Linked DNA regions of Caenorhabditis elegans. The protein of the gene in region 1 purifies or fractionates together with the protein of each later gene. This does not show direct contact. Each region holds a gene or a part of one and is shown on either strand. Other genes may lie near its edges.

Region 1 (8,478 bases):
TGCAAAATTTAGAAAAGCAAGAAAACATAATTACGACTACTGTTCTTTTTAAAGGCACACACATTTTCAGCACTTATTAAAAAAACCAAATCTGGCTATGGATTAAAAGCGCTTTTCAATTTTTAAACACCCAATACAAAAGTAACGTTTTTTCACCCTAACTTGTCTCTAAAAAATGCAGTTACCTTCAAATCTCCAAGAGCAGCCAACGGAAGTCCCCAGTTAGCCACTGGTCCCCAAAAATGAGTTGACAAGAAGTAATGCTTCCATTCGGCGGTGGAATGTTGCTTGAAATATGTCGTCACTTTTGATATAACTCGAGACATCTGGAAATATGAATTTTTAGGTTTTAAGCTTTTTAAAAATATGTTCGAAAATGTTCATTTCGCTGAAATCGCGTGAGAAATCAAGAAAAAACGTCCGATATATATTTGGGTTTGATAAGGAACAAAAAGTGATAAGCAATCAAATCAGTATTTTTGTTCAATGATGATAAAATAAGGAAAACCCTCTGTAGAGAATTAGAGAAAAATGGATGAGAGAACGAAAATAAATAATTGTTTTTGTCAGTGGCTAAAAGATGATATTGATCTTTTTGGTTCCATTAGAAGGTTTAATTTTGATTTTTCAGAAATTGTCTTTAGGTTTTAAATTCAAAAAAAAATTGAAGCATGGCCGTTAAATTATGAGACTTTTGCTCCAAAAATACTATACCGGGTCTCGACACGACTAATTTCTGTTGAATGAATCGGCTTTTCATAGCTTTTCGATAAAAATATGTTTTCAAATTAAAAATTGAGGTAAAACAATAAAAACAGAAAAATTCGAAGAAATAATGAGATCTCATTATTTGTTGGATTTGAGAAAACAATGAAACATTTTTTAAAACTCAAAAAACAAAAGTTTGAGAATACAGTACTCTTTAAAGGCGCACACCTAATCCCACTCAACAAAATCTTCGTGGCAAGACAACGTGTCGATTTACGAAGCTCGTGTACTCCTCGAGGAAAACTGTGTGCATTAATTTATCGCGGATAGCTTTGTTTTTAGCCAATAAACTTGATTTTTAACCATTTTCGCTAATTGTTTTATGTATAAAACATTAATTTACCAATTTATCCCACATTTATAGTATTTCATGTAAAAAACCAATGCGTTTACTGCTGAAAACTACAAAAAAACTAGAAATTGTAGTTTTTCAGCATTAAAATTTGTTGGGTTTTTTTTCTAATTAATTTTTCTAATTTTTCAAATTAAAAAAGGTTTTTCAAATGCAATTCAAAAAATGTTTCTAAAGGTGCCGGTTAATATTTGCAGACTGAAAAAATGGAAAACAAATTGTACTAATTTTTAACAGAGAAAGCATCTGAAAAACTAAAATCTTTGAAAAATTGAAATTGAAAACTCATTTCTGCTCGAAAAATGTGACCTCAGTGCACGAGTTCGCAGGAACCAAACCTCACAATCCTTGAGAGAATAGAAAGCGAGAGAAATAGAGAACGAGAGATGCAGACAATTTAACTGGGGACAAATAGCCACACGGGAGGAGAAGGATAGTTCAGACATCACTTTGAGAAATTTTATGTTTCATTTTTACAAGTCGAAACCATAGTAATATATGATAATAAATAAATAAATAAAAAAAATTAACAAAATGTTTAATTCAGATTATTTCTTCTCCTCCCATCCATCGGAATTATCACCGGAATCGTCGGCACTAGACGAAGAATGTTTCCTCTTTGTCTTCTTTTCTTTCTTGCTCTTTTTTGATTTTTTCGATTTCTTCTTCTTTTCCTTCTCCTTCTTATCCTTTTTCTTTTTCTTCATATTCTTTTCTAAAAGTTTCAGTACTTCCGTTTTTGAAAGAACTGGTTTTGAAGATGGAGGAAGAGCTGGACCAAATGAAGATGCAGAAGTTTCATCAATAATCTGAATATCATCATCTTCCTGTTGCTTTGAAACTCTCAGCAAATCCCTATTTTCTAATTCTTTTAATTCTTTTTCCACTCGTTTTCTGTTCTCCTCCTCTTTCTTCTCAACTATTTCCCTTCTTCTTTTCAAATCCTCTTCTCTTTTTTTCAGAATCTCTTGCCGTTCCTTCTCTTCAGCTTCTTCATCTTCACTATTACTCTCATCTGAGTCTGCACCGTCTCCATCTCCAAAAATGAAATCAAAAAACGATTTTGGAGCTTTGTCTACCTTCTGATTGTTAGGCTCGGCTTCATTTTCCTCTTCTTCATCAGAATCCTTATCATCATATTCTTTCTCATCGTCATCATCTGATTGATTTCTTTTTTTCTCTTCTGCTCCTCTCTGAGCTCTCGATTTCAGAAGTCGCTCCCTCATTTCAATTTCATTTGCAGTGTTCGGAAGTCCCAACGTTGCCGAGACTCCACCAATATCTGCTAATCGATCTTTCCGCTTCCAATCAGTCTTCTGAAGAGCTGGAACTCCGACAGTGTCTGATCCAGGATATGGATGGGGAACATTGAATCGTTTAGCGAGAAGATTGTCAGGATACCTGAAAATTTAAAAATTTCTACATTTTTCAAAGGGACTAAATGGCTAAAACTAGCCCTAAACAAAAAAATTTCATAATAAGAATTCTCAGAAAATTTCTAAAAAAAGAGCCAAATATTGTAAAATCCGAATATTCGTCATCTTGATCTTGTTGCAGCACATACATTTTTTTGCCTTTTTTCGAAATTGTTTTTTGAGAAATCTCATTATGAAATTCGGTCGTTTTAGATGATTCTCAATTTAGAAACATACCAATCAAAGCTTTGCCTCGTTTTTTCTCCAAACATTTCCATTTTCACAGCGGCTAATTTATCCTCATCCTTCGTTCCAACTTTCAAATCACCGCCAGCTTCTTTCACAAATTTCGAAGCCATCATTTCATGAATCGGCGCTGCTATGGCAGTTTTTGCAAGTGGCTGAGCCCTGGATTGTACTTCTGGAAGCATTCCCCGTTCGTCAGATGTCAATTTTGACTCGAATTCTTTCTTTTCCCACTCCCACTCCCAGACAGTCAGATCAGTGGGCTGAGGGTACGGTAGACCACGTCGAATATAATGAAGAAACTCTTTAAATCGAGCTTGTCGCATAGGCTCATCAGGGAATTCAATTCGATTCCGTTGTCGTCGATCCCGATCTTCTTCTGCTTCACCACCACCACGCTCATTATCACGTTTTTCGACTTCATTTGCCTTGATATCCCATCGACTTCTTCGTTCTGTCGGTTTTTTGGAACTTTTGCCTCCAATTTCAAGTGCATTCACGCGATCTTCACCAAGGAATCTGAAATAAATAAAGTTCAACAAAAATATTCTAAAATTGACCGAAATTTAATGATGAGAATGGCCAAAAAAATGTTCCAAATAATTTTCAGGTCAAAATTCTCGGAAAAAGCTGAATCGATTTACGTTTTAAAAACCCGTAAACTCAAACTTTAGCAAATTTCGGAAAACAAAAAAAAGCGAAAAAATATGAATTATTGTTAATTTAAATCATACTTTGCTCTTTGCTCCGCATTCATATGTTTTACATCATTCTTCATCATTTGTGGAAGTTTCGAGATATCCATTGGAATCGGACGATGATCGCCTCGAAAATTCGGCGGAACTCTTGGAGGAGCATAGAATTTTCTTGGATTAAGCCTCTTTGGCTGTAATTCAAATGCAGTAACCAATTTCTGTGTTTTCAAATTACTCTCTTCTGATGCTCCAGCTACATCCAATGAAAAATCAAATTGCGAGAGATCATAATTCGAATAAACACTTTCATCTTCTTCTTCAAATGCTCCAACTCCGAATGCTTGTCCTTTTATTCCTTTGCTATTTTTCTTTCCGGATTTCAAAGCCAAAGTTGTTCTACCGTATGACTCATTAAGTACAGTAGTCTTACGAAGACCTTGATATCCTATTCCATGAGTTCCAGTTAATGGGGTCAGTTGTTTGACAAGAGCATCTTCATTCGAAAATTCGTACGCTGGAGCCACCTTTGAAGCTTGCTCGCGGTCGAATTGGGCTTCCGACGACTCGCCGCCTGGAAAAATTAATTTTTTTTGAAGGAATTGATTATTTGGTTAAAGGAGGATTAATCGATAAAAATCTTGGTTTCTTGGACTCAAAATGGCCCAAAAAGACCGAATTTTAGCACGAGAATCTTCAAAACTAATTTTTTTTATTGAAAACACAAACCGAATTTTGCCAAAGCGTCTGGGAATCGATATTTATCTAATTTTTTTTTGGGAATTTAGGTACATTTGGACCAGATTTGATCTCTAAATGTTCTTAAATCCACGAAAAAACGCTAGACGAACAACTTTGAAACACAGAAAAAACAACCCAAAAAAATTCCGGCACGGAAAAGTTGACGAAATTTGTTAAATACCGCCATAAAACATTTTTGAAAAGTTTCGGTGAGGACTCCGCTGTAAAAAATTCAAAATCGCCTCAAATCCATCCTGAAAAACCACAAAGAAAACACGAAAAAATTGCCAAAGAACGAAAAATCGCACTCCTACAAACGAGATTTTTCTTCTTTTTTTGCGATGTTTCCCTTTTTCCATTATGGATTTTAAGAATTTCAGACTAATTTAAACTTTTTTTGATAACTCCTCCTTCAATTAGATATGCTCTCGAACCTCTCTTCTGTTTCTGTTTAACATTTGCCAATCCGATGCCTCGTCCTTCTCTCCATCCCATTGATCGGAGCATCCGTACTCCTATCGAATTACTAACAGGCTTCACAACATCCTCAAACATCTGAGTTATCGTTGAAATACTTGTCGTATCCCGTTCCCAAGCCATTTTCCTTTTCTGTCCAGCTCCTTCACCAAATGCCGCAGTCTGTTTTATCGATCGATTCCCTATTCCATATTCTCCAAGATCTTCTGCATCCATAAAATCTTCAGCTCTTTGTTTTATTTGTTCTCCACGTTCATTCCGAGATGATGAGAACACTTGAGGAACCCATCCTTGCTTTGATCCAACTGTATTCCAATAACCAGCTGAAAATCCTCCAGTGAAGGCTCCATGGAATCTCCGTTTTCCTTTTTCATCTGTTGCTATCTCTTCGTGGATTTGAGTTGGCTTTTTTGATACAGAGCTTCCTGAAATTATTTATTTTTTTCCTGAAAACTGTAAAATTGCAGACCTTCTTCGTCATCATCTTCGAATTCCTGACCATATGCTGCTAATTTTTTCCTGTTCATTTATTTAGAAAAATCTGAAATGAAATTCACATTTTTTTCCAAAACTTTTTAGGAAACAAAAATCAATATTTTAATGGATTTTTCTGAAACCGTATATTTTCCAAAATTAATTTCAAAAAACTCGAGCTGAATGACACCTATTTATTTAAACCGACAAACTAAATCATCAATATGATAAATACAAAGAATAAAAATAATTGTTCTGTTTCTGTGTGATCACTTGTTGACCTTGTTGAAGTATTCCTTGCTGGTAGCGACTCCTGGCTTGATGGTTGGAGAATCCTCATGCCAATCAGCTGGGCAAACCTGAAAAATTAATTTTTTATTCGTCGAAATTTGTTTTAATGGACTAAAACTAGCCCGAAACGACCGATTTCCTTTTCAACAAAAATTTAAATATTTTTATGGCGGGCCAAAGTTTCGGAAAAAAAACATTGCATTTTTTTTGCTAGAAATTAAATTTTTTGTAAATTTCAAAATTCACCTCTCCGTGCTTATCAGAGAATTGGAATGCCTTGAGCACTCTCAAAGTCTCATCAACAGATCTTCCAACTGGAAGATCGTTACAAGTAGTGTGACGGACAGTTCCAGATGGATCAATGAGGAAAAGTCCACGGTATGAGAGTCCGGATTCCTTGTCGAGCACACCGAACGAGTCGGCGATCTTCTTGTTGAAATCAGCGAGCAAAGGGATGTCCATATCACCGAGTCCTCCGTCCTTGCGTGGAGTGTTAACCCAGGCCAAGTGAGAGAAGTGAGAATCACACGAGCACGCGACAACTTCAGCTCCAAGAGAACGGAACTCGTTTGCACGATCTCCGTATGCGATGATTTCAGTTGGGCATACAAAGGTGAAGTCAAGTGGATAGAAGAACATGACGAGCCATTTTCCTTTGTAGTCTTGATCAGAAATCACCTGGAATTAATTTTTGAAAAAAATATATATATTTGTTATTTTTAACCTTGAAGTCTCCATCAACGACAGCAGTTCCTTTGAAAGCTGGGACAGTATTTTTTGGTCCAAGTGGACGAAGTGACAAAAGAGCACGAGATGTGCTCAACTGGCGGGTGGCAACAGTAGGAACCGTGCGGCAAAGAGCTCGAACAGCAGAAGAAAACATCTGCAAAACTCAGATATTCAGAAATCTTTTTTTCCAGAATTTGATCTACGAAACAATTGAAGATATCAAATCGTTCCAAACTGGTTAACGATAAAAAGAAAATAGCAACAGCAGATAATTGAAAAATGGTCATTTTATTCACTGTTATTGCATGTGTCACATAGATAACAAAAATCGCAAAATTGAGAAGAGCGAGCGAGTTGAGACCAAATAGATATTTAAAATTTCGAATGGTAAATTGGGAAAGAGGACAAAAAATAAATAGAAAAGGAAAAACTTAACAGTGACGTGTAAAAAAACATAAAACGTGGATTGGAGAGGACAATTAAGTACGTGGTTTTCAGCGCTTTCCAGAAGTCTTCTTTCCCTTGACGAAGCACCAATCGACTTTGACATTCTGGCCGAGAAGATCTGTATCGTTGCTCTGATCAATAGCTTCGTTGGCTTCCTGGAAAATAAATAATTTATATTGATACCAGCCGTGGACCGCACCTCCGGCGCGGCCCCCCACTTCTGGGGCTGAAAACTAATTTTTCTGAAACTACCGTAACCCTACAGTATTCCTACCGTACCACTATTGTACCACTACAGTACCCCGACTATATCCCTACACTAACCCCAACTCACTATCCCCACAGAAGCCAAAACTTCACAGACTACAAAGACTACATAGACTACAAACTATGGACACACAGAATAAGCGCTTTATATATAGTAAATGATTTCGATAGAAACGACGACTGCTAAAATATTACCTTCTGCGTTTCGTACTCCACCAGTGCGTATCCCTTCAAAAAACCGGTTCGTCTGTCGAGATTCAAATGAATGTTCTTAATTTTTCCGTACTCGGAAAACTTGTCATGAACATCATCTTCTGTTGCCTCTTCGTGAATGTTTGTCACGAAGACAATCCATCCTTCAACGGATCTTTGTGGTGCTCCGCTTGTGGCAGACGACTCTTCATCGACCACGTCGTAGGTGATCCTCTCGCGATTGCGACTCTAGAAAAATATATTATTGATTATTGATTACAAAATTCGACAAAATTTACCTGCGCAAGTCCTCGACCTCTTGATCTCTCGGCGTTGGCCACCACATCCTCCATCTCTACTTCGTTGTCGCTCATTTTTCTCTTCAAGCGATTGAGACGATCGGGCTCTGAAATTTTATTTATTTATATTTTCAGTTAGATCATTCAGTTTGAAAACCGCCACAAGTTCCTATTGGAAAGAGCAGTTTACACGAGAAAATGTAGAGAAAAGATCGAGGAAAGAATAAATTAAAAGAAAGTGCACATTAAAAATATTGAGATAAAATGGTTAAAATTCGTTAAATACAGGTTGATTTCGTAGAGATCAGTAGATACTTCAATAGTTGAATCCACCGCCAACAAGACGACGCATTCTTCTCGTGTTTCTGTCTTGATCACGCATCTTCTTTTCGATTTCAGCGTCGGTTAAAGTTTCGAGGAATGGACCCCAAGATTCGACTTCAGATGATGTTCTGAATAGCATTGGTTTGCAAAAATTCATTATTTCATATCAAATTTACCTGAACGGGCAATCAACAGTGGCCAGTGGGCTTTCTGAAAACGCATATGTTCTTTGATTCCATTGTAACTGTCCGCGAATTGAATATGCAATTCCTGACATAAATTCACCACCGAGGCCAAGCTCTTTGCAGATGTTTCGTGAAAACTCTTCCGGGCTGTTATTAGGATCCGACATATCCCACCTGAAGTTAAAATGAATTGTCAGTCTTTAGCATTTCCAACATACTCGAATTGATCAACCAAACTCTGGTTTCCAACATTAATATTCAACTTGAGAACGGCTCTCTGATCACAAATGTTCACATCCAATGGTGGCGCTTCTGTAGAAGCTTCGAGCTGCTGATTAATTGCTGCAGTAATAGCAGGCTGGAAAACTGCCAATGGTAGATCAAGATCTTCACACATAATTTCGGCAATCATCTCGGGAGTGATCATTTTCTCGTTTTTATTGAAAGTGAACGTATCGCGAAGTTTGATTCCATCCAACTCCATATCCAATCGAATTGGCACAAGATCTTCTCCTTCCTCAGCATTTTTCATCACTCGTTTCGACATTTCTAAATCTTCTGCTGAATATACTAATTCAC
Region 2 (6,529 bases), on another chromosome or scaffold:
AAATCAGGGAAATTTTTTTTGAATTTTTCCAAATTGATATTCGGTATCAGGAACATAATTATGATCTATTAACTTTTTTAAAATTTTCAATTTCCAGTGACGAAGTGATTGGATTTGTGTCGAAATGCCTTCGAAAACTTCCAAGTGAACGAGCAACCCTAAAATCTCTCACCGCAGACGTCTTCTTCACACAATATGCAGATCACGATGATCAGGGAGAATTCGCGGTTTTTGTGAAGGGAACGATTAATCTACCAAAGTTGAATCCATAATTAATTTTGGATTTTTGTATATTTCGATGTCTCTTTGTCTCTCACTGTCTAGGATGCTCCAGCTCCAGGGGGTGATTCTACGAAATGAGCCAATATTTTTATTGATATTTTGTGATGGAAAATATTTAGAAAAATAATTCTTATATCAGAAAATAGCTACTATTTTAGAGTTGGAAAAATTGAAAAATGCCCAAAAATTTGTTAAAAAAAGTGATTTTTAGGCAGATTTGGCGAAAAACATAGCCGATTTTTTAAAAGGAAAATCGAAAAATTGATCATAAAATTTAATTTTGTAAATTAAATTTTGTGTATGTTGATGAGAAACAAAAAGAAAAATGGCCAAAATTTTAAGATATATTTGATTTTTTTTCTATTTTCCACAGTTTTTTGAGCATTTCTTCAATTTCTCAATTGCCATCTCGAGAGATCAATCCGATTTCTTTGCATTCGGCTCCTTCGGTGTCATTTTTTGAGTCGCTTTCTTCAGCGCCGTATCTGAAAGTATTCCTCTTTTTTTTCTTTAGTTTAGACTATTTTTCATTTACTTTGTAGATTTTTCCCCATTTTTCCCTCCACATTTCTGTCCCGCTTCTGATTAAGATTAAAGTATTTTGATTTGATTTTTGAATTTTTAAGTTTTTTTTCGTTGGTTTTTATAGTCGGTTGAAGCTCCCGAATTTGCATTTTTCTTTTATTTTTTATTATAACTAAGGGTTTCGTTGAGAAACTCGGTTTTTTTTCAGAGATGATCGAAAAAAAAAATTGTTTTTTGAGGAAAAAAAAAATTTTTTCATTAAAAAAGGCAAAAAATTATCGAAATTTTGAAAATGCCTCGAAAAAAAAACGAATTTTTTTTCAAAAATAAAAAATAAAATTTCGGATTTTCTCGGAGCAAAGCTAATATTGATGAGAAAAAGCATAGGAAACCCTGCAATTTTTTTCAAAAAACAAAAAAAAACGAAAAATTACCAACATTTTGAGAGATTTCTCGAAAAATAGATTTGTTTTTTTGGAAATATCGAAAAAAAAATTAGTTTTTATATTTTCCCGAAAATAATTGGAAAATTATGTTGTTTATATTCATGAGAAAAATCTAACATAATTTTATTTTAAAAAAAAATGACCAAAACTTTGACATATTTCTCGAAAAATCAATTTCCGGAAATCGAAAATTTTTTAACTAACTAAAAATTCTCATAGAAAAAAAAACATCATCGATTTTTACCTGAAAATCTAAAAAAAAAAGATATATATCGAGTATTTTTAATGTTAAATACAGAAGGAATTGGCAAAAGATGGCCAAAAATTATTTTTCCGGCAAATCGGCAAATTGCCGGAATCGACAATTTCCGGCAAATTGTGGCCTTGCACATTTTTTTGGAACTTTTGAAGAATTTCAATTTAAATAGGCAAAGAAATTTTTAAAAAAGGCATCCAATGAATGTTCTTACATCTATTTTAAAAAATTAAAAATTCTATGAAAATATCTAACGAAAAATGGGAAAAAATTTTAAAAAGGCACAATTTGGAGTGTTTCCGTTTTAAAAAAATCGCTCTACAAATTTCCGTCATATCGATATCCGGCAAATAGGCAATTTGCCGAAAATGAAAAATTCCGGCAATTTCCGCACACGCCTGGGTCAATCGATATTTTTCTCACAAAATTCAAAAAGCTGACTCACCCGGCTCATCAGGAGTTTTCGAATTAATATAAATAACTGTGAGAAAGACGAGAAGCGCGACGACAGGAATAAAAACGTGAACAGCTGAAAATTCATGAAAATCGGTTGAAATTAATTTAATATATTTAACTCACATTCAACGAGATTATAGACGGCGTCCATGTTTGACAGAGCCCCAAGTTGCCTTCTTGCTCCGAGAGAGAAAGAGCACACACTACTGCGCTTGATATCGATTTTTGTGTGCTGCGAAAAGCGTTGAAGAAAACGGAAAAGGAGACCTCCGTTACGAAAAAGATGTGAAAAAGACGAGAGAGGGGGGGGGGGGAGAAGCTCGGATAATAAAATGAATAAACTGGGAGAAAGAGGAAAAGACTTTTGTGGATTTTCAACAATTTTTTAGTAGCAAAGATTCGGAAAATTAGCCGATTTTCCTGAAGAAAAGTTAGTATGAATAAAAAAAATAAATTGACGAAATTTTTTTGAACTTGGAATCCACTTTCAACAATTTTTGAATACAAAGATTTGGAAAATTTGGCGATTTTTTGCGGAAAAATTAGTAGATGGATGGAATTTTGCTGAAATTTTGCTGGGATCCACCGAAAATAGGAAAAATAGCTTAAATTGCGAATAGGTTTTGCAAAAAAAAAATTTTTGTTGAATTTTTGAAAAAAAAGCAATTTTCTAGAAGAATATTTTATTGGTTTTATCTAGTTTTTTGGGAATTTTTTTTTGAAATTTTTCCAAAATCTGGGATTTTTCACCATTTTTCCTTTTTTTTGCGTGATAGTTTGAGATTATTCATGATTTTTCTTCTCTCGAGGCATTTTTTCGAAATTTATTCAACAAAAATTACATTTCATGGCTTTTTTGATCTTGTAGCGTGCCTTTTTATCCAAACAGTATTTAATTTTAGGATTTTTTGGGTAATTCTGAAATTATTACGGGAACACAATTCTAAAAATGCGTATTGCACAACACATTTGACGCGCAAAATATCTCGTAGCGAAAACTACAGTAATTCTTTAAATAACTACTGTAGCGGTTGTGTCGATTTACGGGATCTCGATTTTTGAAATTAATTAATTTAACGATTGAATATTAAAATTAATTTTCTTTAAAAAAAATCGATATCCCGTAAATCGACGCTACCGTATTCATTTAAAGAATTACTGTAGTTTTCGCTACGAGATATTTTGCGGGTCACTCAGAATTTTGCGTTTCCGTAATATTAGTGTGTTTCTTTTTTCGATTTTCCGATACTTAGACAAATTATTTTTTTTTTTCGAAACATGTCTATAAATTTTAGCTATTTTTCTTCTTTTTTTTTGAGAAAAATGTTTTTTTTCCTATTTATGCATTTCCTCATCGACATAAAAAAATTAACACAGATTTTAAAATTTTAGTTTTTTTTTCTAAAACATTTTCTGATTATCTCTGAAAAAAAAACCGAAAAATCGATATTTTGCTTCTCAACTCATAATAAAATTCCAAAATTCCAGAACATCCGCAATGGCAACTGGTAACCGTAATCCGGAGAACTTCACATCATTGTCACCAATCGTAAAGGCTCCAATAACCGATACTCTTTCGGTTCCACTCTCCCAACAGGGACGTATCTGCGGATTCTTTGAATCTCAATTCTACCGTTGTATGGAGGCTTACGGAGCAAAGATGGGACGCAAGTATTGTGATCTCGAGCATCGTGACTTCCAGGAGTGTGTCACTGGGGATAAACAGAAGAAGGTTCGATATCCGGAACAGAACTGTCGCGAAAAAAAATTGGACTAAAAAACAAAAAATTAGTGAAAACCAAATAAATTTGATCCCTTGAATTTATTCTTTTAACGGAGGACTAACGGTTCGGACGATTTTGAACGTATAGACCCAAAATGTTCTCAAATGAACGAATTTCGTAATGAAACTTTTCAAAAAATTTCCAAAAATTTTTTATGGCGGTTCAAACTTTTGAAAAAATTACACTGATTTTGGCTAAAATCTCGAATTTTGCCCATTTTTCCGTGTCACATCTGTTCGAAGTTGGCTTTTTTTGGAATTATCGTCCTTTATTACATATATTGGTAATTAATCTCATTTAATTTCGTGGATCAAATAACATTTAAAGCCGATAGGTAACCAATTTCGATGATTTTTGGTTACCTATCGGCTTTAAATGTACTTTAATCGACGAAATTAAATGAGATAAACTACCAATATATGTAATAAAGGACGATAATTCCAAAAAAGCCAACTACGGACAGATGTGACACGGAAAAATGGGAAAAATTCGTGATTTTAGCTAAAATCAGTGTTATTTTTCAAAATTTTGAACCGCCATAAAAATTTTTTAAAAATTTTTGAGCAGTTTCATTACGAAATTCGTTCATTTTCCGGAAATTTCTAAAATTCTAATTTAAAAAAATGTTCCTTCATTTTTCTGATTTTTGAGTTTATTTTCTCGTCTTCTTTCATGCAATTTTTCCGATTTTTCTCCTATTTCTAAAGAAAAGAAAAATCGAAAACTCTGAAAAATTTGGTTTTTTAACTTTTGGATTTTTTTTGTTGATAAAATCGAATATTTTTGGTTTTCGATTTTCCTAAAAATTTAAATGTGTGTTCTCCAGTTTTTTTGCCCTGAAAGAGAAAAAACTACCATAATCTTTTTTCTGCGCATCGAGACCCATCTGAATAAACCCGTGCGCCTTTAAAAAACATCACATGAAATTCCAAAATAATCGAAAAACAATTTTCCAGAGAGCTGACGCCATCCGTGAACAACGCTGCAAGCTGTTCCTCGACGGAAAAATCGCGAAGCCATACGTCGACAATCATCCAGAACCGGGACAATTCAAGACTGATCACTTCCAGTGGAATCGTATCAACTAGATACTTGAAGTGCCTTTAGTTTCGAGAGAAATCGCCTTATTTTTTGTAGTTTTCATTTCTTTTTTCTTTTTAATCTTTTCTAAGTACATAAAAAGATTTATAATAAAAAAAAAAAGAAGCAAGTTAAGAGATCAATAATAGTCCGGGTAACACATCCAATGACACAATAATATCTATATCTATAATGAAATATGAAATTAAAAATGGAAGAAAAAGTCGCCGCCACCACGGCCGCCACCACCACCACCGCCGAATGGATTAAATCCGTGGAAATTATGAAATCCGTGTGATCCTCCACCTCCACCTCCACCCCTCCCTGCTTCCGAATCCAGTGGATCTTGTCCATTATCGAAAGCTCGCCGCTTCTCCTCATTGCTCAAAACTTCCTTCGCCGCGGCAATATCGATAAACTTCTTCTCAGCTTTCTTCTTCTCCTTCTCATCCTGAAAGTTGTCCGGATGCCATTTTTGAGCCATTTTTCGATAGGCTTTTGTGATTTCTCGTTTATTGGCGTTCCGGCGGACTCCGAGAATTTTGTAGTAATCTCGTTTTCCGACGAGTTCCTTTGCACGCTTTGCTTGATCTTTTCCAGTTCGGACGGCGTCGTTTGATGAATCCCATTCTTCGGCTTTTTCGTAGTCAGCGATTGCTGGAAATTAGATTTTGATGATCGATAAATCCGTGAAAAGCAGCGCCGCACAGAAAAAGAGGCGGGGCTTATTTTTGCAATCCTGCGGCACGGTTTTTCCTCCTTTTTATTGATTTTTTTCAATGAGAAATTCTGAATTTCGTCAAAATTTTCTGTTAAAACGAAGAAATAGCGTGCGGAGGCTTGCGAAAACCTGCGCCGCACAGAAAAATAGGCGGAGCTTATTTTTGCAACCGTGTCGCACCGGTTTTTCCTCCTTTTTATTGATTTTTTTCAATGAGAAATTCTGAATTTCGTCAAAATTTTCTGTTAAAACGAAGAAATAGCGTGCGGAGGCTTGCGAAAACCTGCGCCGCACAGAAAAAGAGGCGGAGCTTATTTTTGCAACCGTGTCGCACCGGTTTTTCCTCCTTTTTATTGATTTTTTTCAATGGAAAATTCTGAATTTCGTCAAAATTTTCTGTTAAAACGAGGAAATAACGCGCGGAGGCTTGCGAAAACCTGCGCCGCACAGAAAAAGAGGCGGGGCTTATTTTTGCAATCCTGCGGCACGGTTTTTCCTCCTTTTTATTGATTTTTTTCAATGAAAAATTCTGAATTTCGTCAAAATTTTCTGTTAAAACGAGGAAATAACGCGCGGAGGCTTGCGAAAACCTGCGCCGCACAGAAAAAGGGGCGGGGCTTATTTTTGCAACCCCGCGGCACGGTTTTTCCTCCTTTTATTGATTTTCCGAATGAAAAATCCGATTTTCATTGAATTTCGTTGAAAATTTCTGTTGAAAATGAGGAAAAAACGTGCGGCGGCTTGCGAAAACCTGCCCCGCACAGAAGGTTGCAAAATTACGCCCCGCCCATTTTTCTGCGCGGCGCAGATTTTTTTCTCATGTTCAGCAGAAAAATTCGAACTAATTAAAATCGGATTTTTTTTGGAAAAAAAAAATTTTAAAAAAGCATTTCCAGTAAAAATCCATTTTTATTTGAATTCTGTTCGAAATTTCCTGTTAAAAACGAGGAAAAAATAAATAAAAGCGTGCGGCGGCTTG

Evidence for each region. The genes of interacting proteins can lie anywhere in the genome.
Region 2: the proteins of gpch-1 (region 1) and nduf-5 fractionate together in Caenorhabditis elegans (co-fractionation; one large-scale study listed by BioGRID). This does not show direct contact.

What each region holds. Positions count from the first base shown.
Region 1 is NC_003281.10:4,405,305-4,413,782, reverse strand, and holds gpch-1 (G patch domain-containing protein 1 homolog), read right to left. Parts: upstream 5,233-8,478; 5' UTR 5,219-5,232; coding exon 5,161-5,218; intron 5,117-5,160; coding exon 4,649-5,116; intron 4,048-4,648; coding exon 3,516-4,047; intron 3,301-3,515; coding exon 2,773-3,300; intron 2,522-2,772; coding exon 1,669-2,521; 3' UTR 1,576-1,668; downstream 1-1,575. Other genes in the region: mpc-1 (putative mitochondrial pyruvate carrier 1), read right to left, coding at 186-326; putative peroxiredoxin prdx-3, read right to left, coding at 5,435-5,524, 5,703-6,134, 6,181-6,339; RNA-binding protein rnp-4, read right to left, coding at 6,680-6,787, 7,095-7,340, 7,391-7,465; snfc-5 (SWI/SNF Subunit INI1 DNA binding domain-containing protein), read right to left, coding at 7,707-7,842, 7,891-8,073, 8,118-8,478.
Region 2 is NC_003279.8:2,999,772-3,006,300, reverse strand, and holds nduf-5 (NADH dehydrogenase [ubiquinone] iron-sulfur protein 5), read left to right. Parts: upstream 1-3,453; 5' UTR 3,454-3,463; coding exon 3,464-3,697; intron 3,698-4,705; coding exon 4,706-4,837; 3' UTR 4,838-4,941; downstream 4,942-6,529. Other genes in the region: Dual specificity mitogen-activated protein kinase kinase mek-2, read left to right, coding at 98-272; Y54E10BL.3 (CcoQ/FixQ family Cbb3-type cytochrome c oxidase assembly chaperone), read right to left, coding at 700-767, 1,955-2,038, 2,089-2,116; dnj-28 (J domain-containing protein), read right to left, coding at 5,035-5,486.